Notamacropus eugenii: one gene and its partners. The protein of the gene in region 3 purifies or fractionates together with the protein of the main gene of each other region. This does not show direct contact. Links are inferred from orthologs where the notes say so. Each region holds a gene or a part of one and is shown on either strand. Other genes may lie near its edges.

Region 1 (7,443 bases), on a different chromosome or scaffold from region 3:
TCCTTTCTTATGTTAGATGTGTTTTGTTCATAAATAAGCTTTTCAGTTTCATATAATCAAAGTTTTATCTATTTTCTTCTGTAATTGCCTCTATTACTTGTTTGGTTAATTATAACTCTCCTACCCATAGCTCTCCTATTCACAGTTGTGTAATTTAATACATGGTATGTGATCTAAATTTTTGTAGCTCAATCCTTAATATTAAGGTCTACTTAAATTGTACTATAAAATATAACGTAAGGTATTGGTCAAAGCCCAATTACTTCCAGGTGACTTTCTAGTTTTCCCAGCAATTTTTATGAAATAGGGAGTTCTTTCCTAAATAACTATTTTCTGGTTTATTGAACTCTGGATTATTGAATTCCATTTTTTCTGATTTTTACCTTGTCACTGATCTATTTCTTTTTTAACCAATAGCAGATGACTTTGATAACTGCTCCTTTATAATATAGTTTGAGGTCTGCAAGTGCTATTTCTCCTTCATCCCTACCTCTTTTCATTGTTTCCTTTCATATTCTAGCTATTTTATTTTTGCAATTTTGTTCATCTTTTGTTGAGGTCTATAAAGTGTTCCTTTGGTAATATCATTCTTATAGCATGAAAAAATGTAAATTAACTTTGGTAGCACTGCCATTTTTATTTACATTGTCACAGCTGTCATGAACACCAAATATTTCTCAAATTAAGTTGCAGTTTTTTTGAAGGAGCATTTTGTAATTGAATATGTGTGCAAACATATGTATGTATATAAATGTACATAATTATTTTTGGATTTCTGTAAGTATTCCCTAAGTTTTTTGTGTGCTTTAGTAAATTAATTTCCAGATACTTTACACATTTTGTAGTTATTTGGAATTAGATTTCCCTATTAGAGATTCTTAAATCTTGTAATTAACTAGATTACAATGTTTATTTTTGTGCATTTCGTAGCCTACAACATCGCTGAAATTGTTTCCATCAGTATCTTTGTCAATTCTTTAGATTTCTAAGTAAATCATCCTATCAGCAAATTGTGATAGTTTCATCTCCTCTTTACCTGTTTTTAATACCTTTAATCTCTCTGTCATATTACTGTAACCAGCATTTCCACAGAACTATGTTTGGGAGAGTAGACATCTTTGATCGACTACCCTATTTATTGACAAAGGTATTAATGTAGCCATGTTTTATATTCTTGCTTTTAGTTTTAAATATTTTTATGCTACTAAAAAAGATCTTCCTAAACCTATAATTTTGGGAGTTTTTAATATGAGTGTTTTACTTTGTCAAAGCTTTTTTTTTTTTTCCTGTACCTACTGAGATAATCATGTCTGAGAATATTTTGTTTCCATTATGGTTATGTTGTTTTCCTAAAAACTGAATAATCCTTGCATCCTTGGCATAACTCTAACTTGGTCATAATGAATGATTTCTTGTCTATACTGCTACAATGTTTGGCTGCCAGGATGTCCTCTAAAATTTCTAAATTGACATTCCTTATTGATAGACCTATCATTCTCCTGTGCTTCATCCTGAGGTCCCATGACTGTATTTGTCTCATAACAGGAATGTGGTAGAGCGCTTTCCCAATTTTTGAGAATATGACGTATTGATACTAATTTACTAAAAGCATAATAGAATTTTCCTATGAATACATCAGGACCAGAGCGCCCCTCCCCCTTCTCCTTCCATAGTACTTTCACACCAGTTCCTTTTCAGTAATTGCGGTTTTTTAAAGCTATTTAGTCTTGTTACTAGTTTGGGTGTTTTATACTTTGAAAGCATTCCTCTACTTTTTTATGTTCTCAATTATTATAGCTGCATATAGTAGGTTCTAATTTTTATTTATTTCTCCTTTTTGATTTCACCTTGCTCATTTGCCATTTCATTGATGTGATATCCTGCACTCTTCTTTTTGATCAGAATGGCTAAAAGTTCATCAATTTTTACTCTTTTCAGAGAAGCAGATTAGGGTTTGTTTTCCATTTCCCTCAGTATTTGGGGTTTTCAGTTTATTTCTTACTTTCATTAACTCCTTTTTTGTATTTACTTTGTTTGCTTTCTAACTTTTAAAGTGTATATTCAATTCATTAATCCTCTTTTCTGTTTTATTAATGTGTATCTCTAGTTACAATTTTTAGCTGCATTCCAGAAATTTGGGTATGTTGCTTCATCAGTTTTCCCTTCATCAATAATCATTGCTTCTTTGTCCTTTGACTCATTCATTATTTAGGATTTCATTGTTAAATCTCCATTTTGGCCCACGTCTTTTGTTGTGCTCTCTAAACCAATGAGTATTTTTATTGCAACACGTTCTGCAAAGGGTGAGTTTACTAGTTGTTATTTCATATTTGCAATAGCTCCGTGCCCTAAAGCTAGGTCAGTTTCCTAAAAGTTCCATGAGATATTGAGAAATACTTATATTCTTTATCAATAGCACTTAGATGTCATAAATCTTTTAACTCTAGTTTCTCCGGAATTTTAGTTTTTGTATGTTCCCTTTTGTATTGTTTGACTTGGACAAAACTGAAAGGACACTGAAATCCCCTGCCACTATTACTGTCTATGTCTTCTTGTAGTCTGTTTCCTTTATTAATTCAGAAGCTAAAATACTTGTATGTAAGTTTAATATAGAAAGTAGTTTGTCTATGGGTCCTTTCAACAGTTTCCTTGATTTTACTTTGTTTGATAGCATGACTGAAACTACTTTTTTTATTCATCTAACCAAAAAAAAATCCATCCCCTTGTCTTTTTTCTGTTTATGTCCGGTTTTTTTTTTAATGTCTCCTGTAAGCAATAGATGGTGGGGTTATATTTTCTTATCCCATCTGTCGCTTTTTTTAAGAAGGTGAATTATTTAATCCCTTCACATGTGGTTAGTAATTAGGTTTATATTTCCCCCTCATTTGTCTCCGATTTTTTTTTCAAAATTAGAAGTCCTCCCCGACCCTTTGGTAAACACAACAAATACTTGTCTCCCAGTTACTTTAATCTATTTTACGGCAACCTCATTCCCACCAGCTTCCTTCCTCTCACCCTCAAGTCTCCTGACTCCCACATTTGTTATCTCATTCCCTAGTGCTGGAGTTTTCCTTCTTCTTTCTTTTTATCTAGTTACTTAATTTTCTGTCAAAGTTCCTCTCTCCCCTTCAATTTTGGTTAGTTTTTTTAAAACAAATACTTTTAGAAAATACTCTTTTACACAGTTATTCCTAGACTGATGGCCCTTCCTTACTCCTCCTCTAGTCTCTGTTCCTCTTGCAAGGCCTGCTTTGGGCTCCTCCTCCCAAGCAGCTTCCATGTTCTTGCCTTGCAGACCTTACTCCTGACCCCCCCTTTCCTGCTCCGTCCCACTTTGGAGATACCAAACCCTGACGGGGACGGAAGGCTCCGCGTGCCTGACCTCCGCCCTCCCCTTCCTCGGGGTGGCAGCTCCCCCGGGGCAGGACGCGTGGTCTCCGCGCCCCTCCGTGTCCGTTCTCCCACGGGGGCTGCGCGGCGGGGGCTCCGCGGCGGGGGCTGCGGTCTTTTCCCCTTTCCACCCTGCCTCCTCACCCATGCTCGGGGAGGCTCTCGCCTTCCACGGACACAGCGGCGGTCACTCCCACTGCACTGTGGGTCTGGCTTACATTTTTTTTTACAACGAGCCTAGAAGTGATCCTACCTTAAAGCCTACGTGAAGACGTTAGGCATCGTGGACAATGGGCTATTTAGAAAAAACCACCTCTGATGTCCCTGAGCTCAGAAAGCCTCGCGCCTCTCACTACCTGCTTTTACCAGGGTAGCTCCGTTGTCACGAGAAGCTTCTTCCTTGGCTAGAACCTCGTCCACTGCCGCAGTCGGTCACGCCGCGGGCATAGCCCGGAGGGGTCACCCACGCGGCCCTGCCTGCCTTTATTTACCCTAGTATACCGCGCAGGGCACGTCCCTAAGCAGCTCGCCCCGAGGCCCTCGTTACGAGATGCCCAAGGTGGCACGGCGCCTAACCTCAGACTCTTCTCCTCTACCTACGTATGAAATACAGAACAAAATTCTTCCCGCTTCTTTCGACTAGAATTATAAAAGCGCTAAATGGTCCCATGGAGCACGTTTTCTTACTCTTCCCCCAGCGCTGAAGACAGCCGTACAGGCGGTACCCCAAAGGGCATCAACGTGCAATTTTAAACCCCAAAGTCCGCCCAGGCAATCCTATCAGCCGAAACTGAACTTTTCTTTCGGAGGCTCAATGCATTCTTCCTCCTGAGGTTTTTTAATCCAAATTTCTTTGAAACAGAACAGAGCCCGGGGAAGGTCCCGGGGCCAGACTGGAGGGCATGCCGGAGCACAGGCAGACACGGAAATTTAAGGGAACAACCAAGCAGAAAAAAGGAAGACCCGGCTAAAGCCGTGCGCCACGAGACACGCGTTTGACCCCTGGCTACAACGTCATCAGGAAGCGCCGAGACAAGATTCACCAATGCGCTTTGGAGGGGGAGGAGCCGACGAGTGCCCACGGAATCGCCATTTTGACTACGGGCAGAAGAGACTTTCGAGGCTTATTTCTGAAGCCAAAATGAGGCGACGGTTTTTTGTATAAAACTGAACGTTTAGAGGATACTCTCTGCGTCAACTGTGGTCCATTCAGAGTCTCCCGCAGACGAACCATCGTTCAACTTATTACTTAACATGGACTCTTCCGCCTAACGCCACCGCTGCGTGTGCTCGTGAAGCCATAAAAGAACACAGAAGCCCCGCCCCAAGGTCGGAGGTCAGAGGCTCCAGCTCCGGGGCCAACATGGTGGCTGGGGAGAACCTTCGCGTGGTTCGCAGCGGGGGCAGCAAGTTGAACTTACGGAGAGCGGTGTTTTCGGCTGATTCCAAGTAAGGGATTCCTCGGGGGACGGGAGCAGCGGGGAGCGGCCACCGGCCGAGCTTTCCCTCGCGCGCGCCGCCGGAGGTGCCCGTGGGAGGGTCGAAGCGAGGGAGAGCAGAGGGGACCGCGACCGCGTACGTGCCCACGCGGGACACGCGATCGGGGCGAGAAGGCCGCGGACCCGGGGCAGGGGAATAGTTCCGGAGCGATCGCGATATTTCCCGGGCCTGCTCCCAGCGTGGGAAGCGCCGGGAGGTCCCGTGCCCACAGCGCCTGACGCGTGCCACCTCTATCTCCGCATACACACGCATGTACGCCGTGACACACGTGGAACACGCACCCCCCCTCCACATCTCCACTCTCGCTCTGTGACAAAGCCCCCACGCATGATTTCATAGTTCTTTATCATCCTCCTCTTAGAAGCCCTGGGATGCTACCTAGAACTTAGTACCAGGAGAAACCCCTGGGGGTGACAGCCTTCTCTGATGCTTGGTAACTGGGGGATGGAAGACAGGCCCTTTGATCGGCCAGGCTCACTGCCAAGCCCTGCGAATACAACAGCAGAATATATTGCAAAGCCCTGGGAGTGCAACTGTATGTAGAGATACAGATATAGATACGTATATATACATATGTGTGTATCTAGCTATATCTATGCATCTATATGTATCTATGTATACATATATACACATATATACATACATACACATATACATACATATATATACATATGCATATATTCTCATGCACACACATATTCTCTGCAGGTTTTGACTACTGACAGTCACCAATTCTCCTTGATACACTTCTCTCTCTATCTTCATCTATCTCCAGAAATTCATCCAGGACATGCCATCCAACAGTGAGTGTTCTATGTGACTCTATCATGGGCCCTCTTCCCTTCCGCCTTTATACTGCTAAACTTGGTGATCCCTGTGGTAATGATTTTCAGATCTACCTATCCAGCCATATCCTCTCAGCTGATTTCCAGTCTCCCATCTCCAGTTGTCTTTCAGACTTCTCAAAGCAGTTGTCCAGGAGACATCTCAAAATCAGTATGTCCAAAACAAAATTCACTGTGTTTTCCCCAACTCTTCCCCCTCCAAACTTCTCTGCTACTGGCCCCACCAACTTTCCAGTCCCCTAGGCTCACAACTTAGGAGTCCTGGATTCCTGGCTGCCTCTCATCCCCCCATAAACAATGTGTTGCCAAGACTTGTCAATTTCACTTTTAGAGCATCTCCCTTTTCTCCTCTGACACTGTCCACCACGCTGGTGCAGGCCCTTTTCACCTCACTTTTAAACTCTTGTAATAGCCTGGTGGTGGGTCGGCCTGCCTCAAGTCTCTCCCCGATCTAGCCCGTCCTCCATTCAGCTACCAGAATCATTTTCCTAAAGCACAGGTCTGTCCTTATCACCCTCTTCAATAAACTCCAGTGGCTCCCAGTTACCTCCAGGCTCAAATACAAAATCCTCTGTCGGACATTCAGAGTCCCTCATAACTAATGCTCCCACCCTATTTCTGCTCAACCTTTCTAATTGTCATATATCTTATTCCCCATTACATACTCTTCAATCCAGTGACTGTTTCATGAACAGGCCACTCCATCTCTTGGCCCCAGGCATTACTTCTGACTGTTCCCTATGCCTGTAATTCTCTCCTTCATCTCTACGTCCTGGCTTTCTTCAAGTCCTAACTAAAATTGAATGTTCTATAGGAAGTCCTTCCCAGTTTCTCTTAATTCTAATGTTAATTTTAGGGCCTTCCCTCTTTTATTTATTTCTTATTTATCCTGGTTATAATATGTTGGTTCGTATTTTTTGCTTGTGAGCTCCATGAGATTAGGGGACTATCATTTGCCTGTTTTTTAATCTAAAGCACTTGCACTGTGCCTAGCAAATAGTAGGTGCTTAATAAATGCTGCATTTACTGACTTCAGAATGTTAAAAACTTTCTTCAGTACTACCTTTAAAAAAAAAACAACTTGCTATCGTTTCCTTTTACATTATCATCATTTCCAAATATATTCTTCCTTCTTCCCTACCCAGCAAACCATCCCTAATAGCAACAACAAATCTTAAAGAAACTACCTAATACATAAAATGACTGTGACAGCATATGCAGTGTTCTGTACCCATAGTTCCCCACCTTTGCAAATGAGGGAGAAAATTCCATTTTCTCATTTCTTCTTTGAGGTCAAACTTGCTCATTATAATTGCATACCATTCAGTTTCATTTTGTTCTTCCACTTATATTGCTGTGGTTGTACATTTATACACACAGATAGTGTTCCTTCTTTTGCTTAATTTATTCTGCCATCAGTTCATATAAGTCACAAATATTCTGTATTCTTTATAATCATTTCTCATAGCACAGGAAATATTCCATTATTCTCTGGTACTACAGTCTGTCTAGCTTAGCCATTCCCTAGTCAGCAAAAATCTGCTCTGTTTCTAGTTCATTGCCACAACAACAAAAAAATGTGGCTGTGTATAGTTGAGGCCTTTATACTTTGACCTCCATGGACATAAACCTAGCATTAGAGTCTCTGTGTTTCTTAACATAATTCTAAATTGCTTTCAGGAATGGTTGGCAGCTTCACCAACAGTGT
Region 2 (6,967 bases), about 180 Mb from region 3:
AGCTAGGTAAATGGGTAATATTAGACCAAGATGAAATAGTTGTTTTTAAACAGAGAATTGACCATATTACTCCCTCACAGAATTGAAAAGAAAATCTAAAAACATAGTACAGTTAAGAATCGAAGAGCAACAAAATTGTTTTAATCATATATGTGTATATGAGAAGAATGTAACATTAAGCTTAGTGGAAAAAATAACATTCCAATTCAATGCTACTGTAAGAAAGTAAGAGTTTCCTTTTAAAAGAAAAAACTGGAGCTACTTCCCTGAGAAGCTAAATAAACCGCATACTGTAACTTTTTTTTTTAATCTGAGGAAACTATAGTCACTTACCTCATCTGCTTGGTATCTTTTCTTCTAATTTAAAAAGTTTCTATTTAGGCATCCTGTACCATTCTCAACTCAAAATAACAGAAGGGGATTTGGATTAAGAGGAAGATATGGACTCAAATCCTGGATTCACCACATACTAGCTATGTACACTGGCAAGCCAGAGCTACCTCTATTCCTTATCTATAAAATGTCATCAAACAAACAGAACTGGATCCTTGCTGGCCACTATACACTGACTTAGAAAACCACAAATTAACATTATCTGTGTTATACTGTATTTATTTTTAAAAGCATTTTTCAATAAACTGACTCAGTTTTAAACCTTATGATTTTGACACCTTTCATTCAAAAGACAACTCTTATGCCAAAAGGCATTCCAATACTAATAACTTTGCCACTAGTTGGGTGACTCTGGACAAATAACTAATCCTGCTCTATAAAATAAGGATAACCTGTGTTCCCTGCCTTCCTCATAGGTATTATTACCTCACTTCCTAAACCCACCAGTCCTCCAAATTTGTACATTTACTGAGGGGACCACCATCTCCTCTGGCATTTATCCAGGCTTATGAAGTCCAAACTTTGTCAATTCCCTTCCTCACCTTTCAGTAAGTTGCCAAATTTAGTCAATTCTACCTCTAGAATTTGTATGGAATCTGTCCCCTTCTCCACTTAAAGACAGCTACCAACTTGGTTCAAATCTTCATCACTCCTTGCCTGTGCTACTATATTTAACAGCCTCTTAACTAGCCTCCTTATTTCTAATCTCACTCCTAATTTATCCTCCACAAAACTGCCAAAGTTATATTGATTATATTAGCCTGATTATATTATATTAGCCAAAATCACAATCATCAATGGATGTTCCAATGCCTAAGAGATAAAATGCAAACTCCTCAGCTTATAATTTAAGGCCTTTAACAACCTAGCTTCATCCTACTGGTCCAGCCTTATGCCAAACTAGTCCTCTTCGAGAATTCTACATTCCAGCCAAACTGGACTATCAACTGTTCCTGAACTTAAGGACCTTGATGTTCCATCCCTGCCTCACTACCCAAAGATAAATCACCCCATGTGCCTGGAATACAGTCCCCCATCATCTCTCCTCAGAATTTTTATTTCCTTCAAAGTTCAGCTCAGGAATCATTCTTCTGTAATGCCTTCTATGATCTTTCCAGTTCTTCATTGAATTTTGCCTTAAAGATTTTCTTTGCACAGTCTCTCCCCATTCCCAGGAAAATGTCACCTCATGGAGGGAAGGGATCACCTATCTACAGAAAATCTGAGAGGCCATCTCATCCCTACTCCCTTTTTTACAAAAGAGGGAACTGTGAGGCAGAAGGGGCAAATAAAGTGGCTTGCCAAAGATCATCTAACTGTCAGATTTAAGCCCAGGTCCTCTGACTTCAGAGGCAATGTTTCCCACTGTAACAAGCAGCTTAGAGGCTAAAGGGTGTTTTTGTGTTCCTATCATATAGCAGGATCTTAAGAAAAATGCTTTGACTTGGTTAACTCTAAGTTGTAACAAAAGTCATAACCTCTCAAAAATACTTTAATAGTTCGGTCTTACTGTACCCATTATGCACCACGTGGGTTTAACAGATGCAGCCAGATGACTCAAACACCACCAAATGGTATCTCCTACCTGAATTGGGCCTTTCACAGCAGAGGTAGATTTGGGATCTTTTCCTCCCCGTTCTTCCGGATAAGGCCAGAAGGTCCCCTCTCCCACTCCCTGGTTTACATTTAATTTACTCCTTATTTAACAGAACAGACAGGAAAACTACAAACGGATTAGCAGAAGGGGAAACCCAAAGCGAGAGCCTGAATGCGTGTGGGGGAGGGGCGTGCAGCGTGTTTCCAACGTGGTGGGAGCAGGAGGCCGGAGCCCGGGTGATGGGTGACAGGAATAAAGAGCGGGTAAAGCGGGTGCGATGGATTGGAGGGAGAGCGGGAGTGCGGAGGCTGGGTGGTTAGCTAGGAGTGCCCGGGAGCTCTGGTCCATCTGCTGCGATGTGTCCGGGCAAAGCACGCCGGGGGAGGGGAGCCGGACTCCGCGGCCAGAGCGAGACGCGTGGCTGGAAATAAGTACGGGCCGCGGAGAGTGGCGAGCAGCCCGCGAAGACAGAGCGGCAGCAGGCGGGCGGGCCCGCTCCGGAGCTCCTCCGGGCCAGGCGGGCGGGCGGGCAGGCTCTGCTCCACGGCAGGCCCCGCTTCTTCCTGCGGCTGCCGGCCCCCGCCAGGACCGCGCACCCCGCCGCGCACAGCCCGCCGAGGGTGGGCCTCGCGCCCCTTCCCCCCCCCACCCGGTTCCGCGCGTCCACCCCCTCCCAGCTCTGCTCCCGCGCCTCTAGCTTTACCTTGGCCAGCGACCGCGGCGGGGCCCAAGCCAGGCAGGTGCAGGTGGCGCTGAGGTGAGCGGAAGGAACAAAGTCCTGGTGAAGGCGGCTGCTGGCTGTCTCCCACACCCGCAGGTGACCATCCGGACCAGCTAATGAGAAGTAGTGCTGGCCCCGAGGAGAAAAAGCACAGGGAATCCCGGAGTGGGCCAGGGGGTCGCGGCGGCCTCCGCCACTCGCCGCCATTGCTCTTCTGGCCCCGCAGCAGCCACGTGTTCGGCCGCGCGCCTGCGCAGCCGACTTGGGCGGGGTGTATGGAAAGGAAGCTGGCCCAGACTGGACCGGGGTGAAGGGGCGGGGCTTCGTCGTCGCTCAGGGCGCCTGCGCGCGGCGGCCCGCACTACTTCAGGTATATCGACTTTCAATTGGGAGGTGCTTGGAAAAGCTAAAGCTTTCACCCCCCCTCCTTTTTTTCTTATAACGAACTGAGGTCCAGAGAGGGGGTCTCCTGCTCAAAGCCACAGAATTGTGTGGAAAAGGAATTTGAACCCAAATCCTCCAACTGCAGACAGATTTTTCTCCTGTGTTTCCTTATGTCCAATCCTGGGCTTGTAACCTGTAGGACATAGTAGGAAGATTTTGCACGCCTGTAGCTTTTCTTAAATTGATATATTTTCTTTTTACACATATTTTCTTTCCACTTAGAGACAAAGGATTTTTTTAGAAAGCCTTTTAGAGAAACAGCTGACCTCCCTGGCTTCCTTTAAGTCCTATCCAAAATCCCGTCTTTTACTGGAAGCCTTCCCCTAGCCCCTCAGTTCCAGTGCATTCCCTCTAGTAGTCATTTCCTATTTATAGCTTGCTTTGTGTATATTGGTTTACGTGTCGTTTCCTCCATTAAACTGTAAGTTCTTTGAGGGCAGAAGACTGTCTTGTACCTCTTTTTGTATCCCCAGACCTTAACAAAATAGTCAATTAATGTTATTGACTGATGGATGAATGGATTCATTGATTAATTGACCTAGTCTTCCACCTCTGCAAAGAAGGGGCTGCTGTCTCATTTCTTCTTTGGGGTCAAATTTGGTCATGAAGTTTACACACCTGTGACATTTTGAAGTTTGCCAGTCAATAAATAAATAAAAAAGGATTTATTTAGTACCTGCTAGGTGCCCAGCAGTGTGCTAGGCACTGAAGATATAAATACAAAAAACACAGAATCATTGTTCTCAAGGAATTCTATCAAATAGCCTATCTACACAGGCAATTTTCAATCACGGGTTCATTCAAATGTAATCCTTATGATGCAATGCAAAAAAAAGTTTCATTTGGAATCAGAGTATTCCTGGGTTTAAGTCCCTGTTCCGCTATTTGATGTGTGACTTCCAAATCACTTCACTGCTGTAAGGTTCAGTTTCTTTAGAAGTAAAATGTAAGATTGGATTAAACTGTGGATAAAGTCACTTCTGAGATGAGAGGTCATCTCAGATATTAATACCTTCTTCTTGCAAGCATACATTTAAGAAAATTAAAGAAGGAAAGTTATACTGAAAAATTAAAGAAAATGAAATTGAACCTCATACGCTTATAAAACAGATAGACACCTTTCAATAAGCTACCCTCTCCCAAAGATCCAGGTTCTGCCAAGTGTGAATCCCCCTGCAGTTATGCAGGGTCAGTAATTATCCTCCACAGTGGTTCGTGCTTGTGGTTTCCCCACCAGAACATCACCAGATATTTTTCTTGGATATGGCCAAAACCCTCTGGGCTGCTGGGAACATTCTTTGGTGTTGATAGTACCCCCAATTTCTCTGTAATTTTCTCTTAAATACTAAATAGGCAACTAGGTGGAATTATTCAAATTTCCCTCAGTAACAGAGAACATATTCTTTTTTGGTGGGTGGAGGGAGGAGGAAGGAGAAGTGGAAGGAGGAATAATTGGGTAACACAGTAGAAACTCTTTCCTATCCTCTAGTACACCCTTAGTCTCTTTCTAGTGAACTTCCCATCTTCCCAAAAATATGCTCAGGTTTCCCCAATCCTGAAAAGCCTTCCCTTGACCCTTCTAGTCCATTTAAGTACCACTCCAACTCTTTACTGCTCTACTACTAAAATTCTTGAAACAACTGTCTATACCTAATGTTTACCTGTCCTCACTACTATCTCCTTTCAATCAAGTTTCTTCTCCCAGAATTCTAATGAAACTGCTCTTTCAAAATGACCTCCTAATTGCCAAATCCAATGGCTTTTATTCAGTCCTCATACTCCTTGACATCTCTATAGCTTAAAGTTCTTCATAATGTGGTCCATCCTACCTTTCTGGTCTTCTTATACCTTATTTCCCTCCCTTCACTAAATGACCCACTTATATTAGCCTACTTTCTGTTATTCACACATGACACTTCACTCTATGCATTTTCACTGGCTATGACTTTCTCCTGGAATTTTCTCCCTCCTCATCAGGAAATAAATTGGGATTTTTTTTCCCTAGAAAGTAAAAAATGGATCTATTGTGATTTGACAGAGTAGAGGAACAACAAGGATGAAGCTCAAATTAAATTCACTTAGTCACATGAATTTCAAACTTCAAGATTACATTCACAAGATGGTTTTACAAGCTGTCAAGATAAAAGCATCACATAACAGTGTGTGGGATGGCTCAGGTCCCTACATAAATCAATTACCCAGAGACCTCTCAAAGTGATGACAGAAAAGAGATTTATTCGATTCTCGATAAGCGGGGCTCACCTGTAGGAGTACGAAAGCCGAAGACAAAGAAAAGGCAGCGATTTATATAGACTCTAACGCAAGTCCCTCCCCCCCCACTGACCATTATCCTCATTAGCTGAGAATATGATCTTACATTCTAGACACGAAATCTAACCAATCCCTTTTGAAATGAAGACATTGAAGAATTAGGTAAACTTTATCCAATCATTGAGACCCTAATGTACTACATAGTTTTATATCCTTATATGGAATTATTCTGTTCTAAAAATATAGTAACCTTGAGCCTCTCAGTCTTACCTCACCCCTAGGAGAAAAATTACAATCTGAGAAGTCTTCACTAAACCTATCCCACTCAACAGGAAGTAGCAATTTGAATTGCACAATATTTTTCTATAAAAATAAGAAAAGACATAGAAAGTTGAAGTATAATAGAATAAGATATTTATCCTGAAATCAGCTACCTACCATAATTAAGTATACTTTTTGAAGAAAAAAGGATGGTCTTTCAGAAATTCACAATAATTTGAAAAATGTGTGGATCCCCAAGACAATCTGGAACTATAATGTGCAGAATCAACAAGGTTTGGTTTGCAACAGATGAGAGTTGAACTGATGTAATAGAAAAAGCAATGGATGAAACCAGAAAAGATGGTGGATATAGAGGAAGTATTACAGCTCAGCTGTCCAGAACAACTAATCCAGTAAAAATTGAGGAAGAGCACCCAATAAAGGAATGATCAAGAAATAAAAAAAAAATAGCACCAAATGCTTTTTCCAGCCCAAGTTGATACAGAGAGATAGCCTGAGGCTTGAGGGAAGGGGGCTTACTCAGGGAAACTAGGACAGAAGCCTTCTAGGACCCTAGATAAAATATATTAGTCAAAAACAAGGTCCTACCATTTACTCCAGAAATGCATAGTCTGACCTGGACATGAAATTCTAACTTGGGAAGCAAGGCTGGAAAAATGAGTTAACAAAAGAACCTACTAGCTATAAAGAAATAATATGGATCCAAGAATGTCTAATACACAAACAACAAAGAACACAATAATTGTATGACATTTATACAAGTAAAGCCTCCCAGAATTACTTGGCAATAATGTCCATTAAATTTCTTAGAAGAAGTGGAACAAGTTTAAAAAGATACTATACATGGCATGAAAACTCTTGATCAGTGGTTTGCAAACTTTTGATCTCAGGATTCCTTTACTCTGTTAAAAATTGTTTAGGATTCCAAAGAACTTTTGTTTATGTTTTATATCTACTGACATTTAACATAATAGAAATTAAAACTGACAAACTTTTAAAATTTTATTTACAAACCCCATTATCTTCGATGAATAACTTAATATAAAATAACTATATATTACAAAATGAAAAAAAATTATTGAGTGGCATTATTTTTAAAAATTGAATGTCTGGCTTAATAGAAGAAAACTGGATTCTTATATCTGGTTCTGAATTCATTCATTTTATTGTGATGTATTGTTATTGATGAATAAAATTGGGCCTCACACAAATATGTAGTTGGAAAAGGGAGGAAAATGTTAATAGGCCAATAAAATATT
Region 3 (7,885 bases):
CACAAAAAAGGTTTAGCTCTGATTCAGAGAAATTCATTAGGGATCTGAAAAGAAGAAACTAGCCAAAAATAATTAATAAATACTTGGGGTTGGTTTGAGAGACTAGAAATTAGGACAATTCATTTGAATGTCTGGGTCATAGGTTTAAGGCAAATCAGTGATTTAAATAGCATCTTACTAAAACCTCAAAAGGGGTTCCTCGCTATCTTGTTTTATTCTCACACCCTTAGATGCACAGTAGGAGACAGGTATATTTTCTATTTTTCTTTAGGGGAGACTGAGACACAAATAGGAGATTAAGTGACTTGTCCAGTACAGCTCTTCTGCCAGTCAGCTCCTTCCTCTTTCCACCAGGAAAGAGATCAGTCACTTTTACAAGTCCTGAATACTCCTTTATGGGTGCTGCTGGCTTAGGCAGGAAAGAAAATTAAAGGTGATCCATCAGTCAAACAATAAGTCAGCAAGCTTTTATGATGTTCTTTAATACGTACTAGACACTGTGCTCAGCATTAAGGATGCAAAGAAAGAGCAAAAACAGTCCTTGTCCTCAAGGAGCTTACATCCTAATGGGGGTAACTATATAAAAATAAATGGGTAAATGCAGAGAAAGTAGCCAAGGCAGATGGAAGTCAGAAGACTGGGGAATGGCAAAGGTCTGGAAGGACAGACCAGCAAAGACCTGCTAGACAGGGAGGTGTTTTACCAATCTTTCTAAAAAATATTTTCTTTTTCCCCAATTACATGTGAAAACAATTTCTAATGTGTTTTTTTTCAAATTTTTAAGTTCTAGACTTCCTCCCCACCAACTAGAGAAGAAGGCAAACTATTTGATATGTTATAAATGTGCAGTCATGCTAAACATATTTCCACATTAAGTCATGTTGTGAAAGAAAACACAGACAACTCTCCCCTCCCCCCAAAAAATAAAGTATATTTTATCAGTTTTAAATGAAGCCAGGGATTCTGAGAATATGTCGTTGGGAAGGAGAGCACTTTTGGAATAGCCAGCCACAAAGGCACGGACACAGAGTGTCCCTTTTAAGAACTATCTAGTAGGCTGGTATGGCTGAATAGGACAGTATCAGAGGGGAGCAGATGGTGAGAAACTGGTTGAGGAAGGAAGGGAATATGCTGTAAAAAGCCTGAGGCCCCAAAAAGAAAAATTTATAGTTGATCCTAAGAGTAAGAGAGAGCCAAAGGGTGGCACAGTCAGAGATCTGTGTTAGGAAAAGAACTCTGACAACTAATGGACTGGGGTGCGGAGAGCCCTGAGGTGGGGAGAGCCCTGAGGTGGGGAAACCAAGGAAAAAGCTACTGAGAGGCAATGAGGGTGGAGCCACATGCAAGAGTGTTATGGAGGAAAGATCTAACAACTGGTTGGGATGAAAAGCAAATGAGAGAGAGGGAAGGCGAGTGATCGGAAAGATGATGGTGCCTCTACAATCATGAGATAATTCAGAAAAGAAGAAAGTTTGAGAGGGAATATAATGAGTTTTCTTTTGGACATGATTATTTTGAGATGCCCACTGGGACATTAAGTTCAAAATGTCCAAAAGGGAGTTGGTGATGTAGGACTGGAGATCAGGAGAGGAACCAAGGCTGGAAAAAGAGCTGGGAATCATATGTATAAGAGAAATAATAATGATAATGATTGCTAGCCACTTCAAGGATCTCAAAGCACTTTACGCATGTTCTCTTGCTCCTCACAATAAATGGGGGAGATGGTTTTTTTCTTATTCCAGTTCACAGATGAAGAAATGAGGAAGACAGAGGTTACCTGATTTGCATAATGCCACAAAGATGGTAAGTATCTTAAGCAGAATTTTGACTCAGCTTTTTCTGACTCCAAGTCCAGCACTGCTCACTGAACCCATTGGGAGGATCACTAAACAACAGGTTAAAGAGAGAAGAGACGTAAGACAGCACCTTGGGGGAACATTTAGATCTGGTGGGCATGCCATGAGTGAAGGACAGCCAAGAGAGAAGAGGGTAACAAAACCCAGTCACATGAAACAGAAGTCAAGTAAAAGGATCAAGAAGAGGTCACTGGATTTGACAATTAATCAATGAGCAGATCACTGGTAACTGAGGAGAGCAGTTTCAGTACCAGTAACTATACTGCAGAGATTTCAGAAGAGTGTGGATAAGAATTAGAAACAGTGACCAGGTATTTTCCTCCCCAAGGAGTTAAGCTGAGAAGGAGAAGAAAATCTAGGATGATGGTGGGAGGATCTGATAGGATCAAATGAAGGCTTAAAAGGATAGGGGAGAGGGGGCAGTGTTTGTAAGTATCAGGGAAGCAACCAAGAGATTCCAGGGAGAGACTGAAAATAAGAGAGGATGTGCACAATGCTATGAATGGTATCAATTGTATATGGAATAGGATTATCCTCAGCAGGCAGAAGGACCAACCCTTACATCCTTAAGACTGTGGAATGAATGAGGGAGGATGTGATGGGGGACAAAGTCAGAAAGATGTGAGAGGGGCAAGGGGAGAAGAAGTGGTTCAGTTTAGATGGCTTTGCTCCCTCCTCCATGTGAGGACCCCCATCCATAAAAGGATGTTGTCAGTCCAGATGACTCCAGAGACCCACAGCAGACTGACCTTTTCCTGAAAGCTGTTGGCTGCCAGATTGTAGATCTCGACTGAGCCGTCCAATCGAGAGACAGCCAACCGGTTGGATTGGTGATTGTATGCCACACATCGGATCCCCACGGGAACATAGTTGAAGAAACGCACTCGATGAACCTTAAATTCACCCATTCCTGCAGACGGAAATGTAACTTATTATTAAGCACCTACTCCAAGGGATATGTCCTGTGCAACTGTTCAATGGAGGAATCAAAAGCAGCCTTTACTTTGTTTATTTGGGCCTCCTCACTGGGGGTGAAGGGGAATTATTTTTGAACATTTACCTGGTAATGTTACACCCTACATATTGTATAGCTCCTTGAGAGCAGGGGCAGTCATTTACCTTTCTTTGTATCTCCCATGCATAGTACCCAGCACACAGTAGGCAATTATTAAAAATGCTTAATGACCAACAACTAATAAATCGTTTCAAGAATCTCATCTTGGTCTGAAAGAAAGACAAAACAGAAGATTCATTCAGCAAGCAATTATAAATCACCTACTACGTGCCAGGGACTATGCCATGTACCAAGTGGCTTACATTAAACTAGGACAGGATAATTCAGAAAAGGACAGGGGGAGACCAGGGGTGCAACATGAGCGTAGAAAAATAATATATCAGACTTACAAAGTGAATACAAAGTGGGGAAGGGGGGAAATGAGGACAGGCCTCCTGTAGGAAACTGGGCATTTCATGAAGGAAAGGTGAGGAGACAGAGCATTCCAGGTTTGTACCCAATTGAAAGATAAGGAAACAAAGGGTCAGAGATGAAATGCCCAAAATAGCATGGCTAGGAGGGTGGAACTCTTCATCCCCTACCATAGGTTATCCCTCAGTGGTAAGGGATGGAGGAGGTCAAAGAAATCAAATGTACAAAGTAATGCACTAGGGAATGGAGACCCAGATTCAAGTCCTGCCCCTGACACCAGAGGCAAAGTCACTTTTAGTCCTGAGTTTTAATTTCCTCATCTGAAAATGGAGACAATGCTACCAGCATTACTCTTCGCGCTCAGGGTCTGGGAGAGGTCCGAGGGACACTTCAAATCCTATTTCCACAAACATTTATTAGGGCGTCCCATGAATTCCGCACTAAGCTCCACAGGACAGATCCCAACCTTACATTCTATCGGTTATATTCGGCAAGGACTCCCCTCCCATTCTTGTCAACTGAATACACATCTGTAAAAGTAACAATGTAACAACGTCAACAAAAGTAACAATCGATGAGGCATCCTGCGGTCTCTGGGAGAGATACAAAGACGAAGACTGGCCTTTGTTCATGGATAGGAGTACCTTTCAGCTCTAAATTCAAGGATGGGTATCATGCGGGGGGGAGGGGGTAAGGGGCTCACAGTCTAATAGAAGGGATAGTGGTCTAGGTGGGGGGAAAAAGACTTCAGAAAAGACCATTCCCCGGATTCTCTGACTCTCAATTTCCCCCGCTGTCAAATGAAGGAGATGCACTGGATGGTCCTTAGAATCCTGCCCGAATCCTACGCAGCTGGGGATGCGGGTCGGGGGCTCCCTGGACGCAGGGCTGGTCGGGGGAGGGGGGGTGACCCCGGGCGATCTGTAAAAGGCGGGGTGGGGCAGCCCCTCGCTCCCGGGGATGCCAGGAGAACGCAAAGCGCTTCTGCAGATCTTAGGACTTCAGTTTCACGGGGCACTGAGAGCTATTACCATAAACTGGCAACCCCTTAGTAGGCGCCTCCTGTATGCCTGCTAGGCGGGCGCCGAGAACCAGATGTTACCAAAAGGCGTGGTAAAAGGGCCACGGGCCGAGGGGCCTCCCGCCGCCCCCCCAGGTGATTTGGAGTGGCCGGCTACCGCGGAGGGAGGGCCCTCCCACCACGAGGCAAGGGTCGCTTCCCTCCCCCCATCGCCACACTCACCTTCGCCGGCCTCCGACCTCCGGCCTCTGGTCCAGCTTCCCCTGCGACTCGCGCTCCCCTCCCCACCCGGCCTCGACCTCGCACCACGTGCGCGCGCTTTGACCCCGGAAGCAGTCGCTGGCCCCACGGAGCCGGAAGTGCGCAGACAGTGTTAGCGGCGGCGGACGGTGGCGGCGGGAGGTTCGGTTGTCGCCCGTTGGCCGCGAGGCGCCGCGTTCGGCGGCCGCCATTGCAGGTCAGGCCCCGGGCGGGGCGTGCGGGAGGGGGAGCGGAAGGGGCCCGGGGGGCGAGGGCCGGGGCTTCGGCAGGCGCGGCGGCGGGAGGACGAGGAGCAGGGAGCCGGCGGCCCGGGAGGGAGGGCGGCGCGGGAAGAATGGCGGGAGGGGCCGGGGCTGAGGCGCGGGAGCGAGCGCGGGCGGGGGCGAGCGCAGCGGGCAGCGACCTGCGGCTGGGAGGCGGCGGCGGCCCCACAGGGCCGGGCCGGGCCGGGGCTGTGCACGGAGGGGACCGAGGGGGCCCGGCCCGGCGCGGGCCTGGCCTGGGAGCCACGTGGGTCGTGGCAGGATTAGTGCGTTGGGGGGGAATGGCTCGGCGGGGAAGGGACCGGGAACGTGGATGGAGAGGGGATCCAGGAAGTGCGAGGGGACCATTTGGAGGGATCCCAGGAAGAGGAAGGAAAGGGGAGGAGCCTGGGGCGGGGGCTGGCTGCGGGAAGCGGGGGGAGGCCCGGGGCAGGTATCGGAGATGGAGGGGGGAGGGCTGGAAGTGCTGGGAGGGAGCACCCGGGGCAGGGGCGCGGCGTTGGCGGAGGGGAGGGTTCGGACACCTGGAGCGAAGCCGGGCCCGGGAGTCGGTCCCGTGGAGGAGCGGGATCCTGACTGTTCCTCCAGTGCGCTGTGAAAGTCACATGTGCGCGGGGTCCACACGCCGCCCCTTCCTCACGAAAAGTAACGAAACATTCCCCCCCCACGTACATCTCATCCCAGGGGGCAGGGGCAGCCGGCCCAGCCAGCAGCTGGATAACTCCCACACAAGCCCAACAGTCACGAAAACACTGCTTAATAAAAAGATCTCATCTCGTGTAAAACCACGTTAGTTGTTCGTTGTTTGGAGGAAAGCACATGGGAAAAGTGCATAGTATTTAGCGTAAAAGTTATCCGAATATTCCGTGAAGCAGTCTGGTGGTAATCCAAGTTTCAATTCCTGGGAGACCATCTAGTTTAACTTTTTCCTGCCCAAGAAACTGAAACAGCCCCCTCCCACCAAGTTAAGTAATTTGCCCAAGGTCACTTGGTTAGAAAGTTGTTGAGGTATGATCCAGACCTCTAAATCCAGCATTCTTCAGGCGATTCAAGTGAAATAATGGTAAAGAAAGCGCTTTGGGCAGTATTTTGCACATAGTAAGCACTACTTAAATGTTAGTTATTATTTTAAGCAAGTTTGTGGCGAAGTACAGAGAAAGCAATTCATCTGGTCCTTCAAGTAACAGTTCAATATGGAGCCAACATAAATTGTGTTCAGTCGGTGCTTTCTGAACTATAAAATTGGAGCTTGTTTTTGCAAGATAGATGTTCTAAAGCAAAATTTTGTATCATGAATTTTGTAGGGAAACCTTTGGAAAGAGTTGAAAAAAATGGACTACAAATAATTGAAATTTAAAGTTGGTCTTAGGGAAAGGGATGCCTAAAATCACAAAATGAATGAAGGATTATCATTTCAGTAATTAAGCAAAATATCCACTAAGCATTCTTTTTTGAAAATTTTGGCTGTTTTAATTACATAGAACCTTTTTGGCTAGGTATTAAGTAACTTGTCCTTTAGGCTTTGTGTATAGCACCTTTTCCTCCAGGGCACTCTTAAGAAGTAACTTTAAGTGCTTGTTATTCTTGATGAACTCATTGACATGAGGTTCATTTTATTAGTGTTCTCATTTTAAAAATTAGGAGTCTGAAATTGAGAGAGATTGAGGGACCTCACTAAAATCAAAGCTAACCTGTAAAGTGGGCTCCCAGCCAATTCATTATTTAAGTCCACCTTGTCCAAAGCAACAGAAGCATGCATTGTAGATTGAATGCTTTAATTTCTGGGAACATGTAAATATGGAACCATTTTCTGTGACAGCTGCCTTCCTGAGGTTTTTCAAATGGAATACACAATTTTCCAGGATTTAATGTACCAAGAAGAGTTGAACATTTTAACAACCAAGAAAAACAAATAGAGCTAGGTCCTGATTGTGGCAAAGAATCTCCTGAAGCAATGGCATGTATTCAAATTCACAGTATTTGAAATTATAATTATATGAAATATGGTATAGAATTTTTTTCCCTGGCCACCTGACAGATACAGTAACTGCTTTGGTGTCTTTGTACAAATCAGTTTATTTTACTTTGACATGAATTCCTTAAAGCCACATTCTTGAAGATTTTTTTTGCCCCCTCCCACAGCATCTAGCCTTGTACCTTGTTTCCCTTGTAGTGCCTTAGGTGCTGAATAAATGGTCCATGAATAAATAATATGAGAATGAAGTTAGTGTTTATAAAGCATATTGAAATTTTAAATACCAGAAGTAAATAGTTACAGAGAAATCAAAAATATCATGTTTCCCAAAGTATAAATTCATGGTCATTAATCTTACCTAAAGCCTAAAACCTTTTCTTCTTTTTCTTTTAAAAAATAGTGGTTTTTTAAACTATCTTGTGTTACTCAGTATACTTTCATCTTCCTAGAGCTGAATTATTTCTGTGGATTTGAATGTTTTTGTAGCTGGCTCAGAGTTAAAACTAAGCATAGTCTCACCAGAATGGAATTGCTACTTCTAATGGCATTAGATTTATGCTTTCTAGTTGCCTCGTAGAGAAAAACTGATTGAAGTGGATTTGAGGAGCACTTCCACTGACCTGCTTTTAATTCAGTTGCATAACTTAATGGAGCTGTATAATTAGTGCATCAAAGTCTACCTGTGAAATTTTGTCACCTTACTGCTATCACACATACATTTCTGTATAGATCAGATTTTATGAGTTTCAAAGGCCAGTCTCAGTTAATTTTTTCACATTGAGTAATGTTTGAAATATAAGTAGTCTGGGGCTTAGAAATCTTTTTGCCAGTCAGTTTTCATTGTGAATGTTGGCTTTTATTTTAACAAGAGTTGACCTATACCCAATTCTCTGCCTTTTTCTTTCACAGCAGATATGTCTTAATATTACATTCCCCTTAATCCTGCTTTCTAGAGGCACAAATTGGACTCCTTCTGTTCTTCAGACCTCCCCTCATCGTACTCCAAACACTATATTCAATGAGTCATAAACTTTGGGCCTACCCAAACCCTAAAGAGTAAAATATTTAGGTACCTGAAGTAAG

The links. Proteins that work in one complex are often made in the same cells at the same time.
Region 1: the proteins of UTP4 (region 3) and WDR75 purify together in Homo sapiens (co-immunoprecipitation; 3 studies listed by BioGRID and IntAct, counting the BioPlex papers as one, with this or other methods). This does not show direct contact. The link is inferred for Notamacropus eugenii from reciprocal best matches to the Homo sapiens genes UTP4 and WDR75.
Region 2: the proteins of UTP4 (region 3) and WDR43 purify together in Homo sapiens (co-immunoprecipitation; 5 studies listed by BioGRID and IntAct, counting the BioPlex papers as one, with this or other methods). This does not show direct contact. The link is inferred for Notamacropus eugenii from reciprocal best matches to the Homo sapiens genes UTP4 and WDR43.

Annotation. Positions count from the first base shown.
Region 1 is NC_092876.1:256,516,102-256,523,544, forward strand, and holds the start of WDR75 (WD repeat-containing protein 75), read left to right. Parts: upstream 1-4,439; 5' UTR 4,440-4,753; coding exon 4,754-4,839; intron 4,840-7,443. UniProt on the Homo sapiens protein: Ribosome biogenesis factor. Part of the small subunit (SSU) processome, first precursor of the small eukaryotic ribosomal subunit.
Region 2 is NC_092872.1:530,596,988-530,603,954, reverse strand, and holds the start of WDR43 (WD repeat-containing protein 43), read right to left. Parts: upstream 3,005-6,967; 5' UTR 2,919-3,004; coding exon 2,694-2,918; intron 1-2,693. UniProt on the Homo sapiens protein: Ribosome biogenesis factor that coordinates hyperactive transcription and ribogenesis. Part of the small subunit (SSU) processome, first precursor of the small eukaryotic ribosomal subunit.
Region 3 is NC_092872.1:708,525,489-708,533,373, reverse strand, and holds the start of UTP4 (U3 small nucleolar RNA-associated protein 4 homolog), read right to left. Parts: upstream 3,078-7,885; 5' UTR 2,995-3,077; coding exon 2,976-2,994; intron 2,767-2,975; coding exon 2,606-2,766; intron 1-2,605. UniProt on the Homo sapiens protein: Ribosome biogenesis factor. Involved in nucleolar processing of pre-18S ribosomal RNA. Part of the small subunit (SSU) processome, first precursor of the small eukaryotic ribosomal subunit.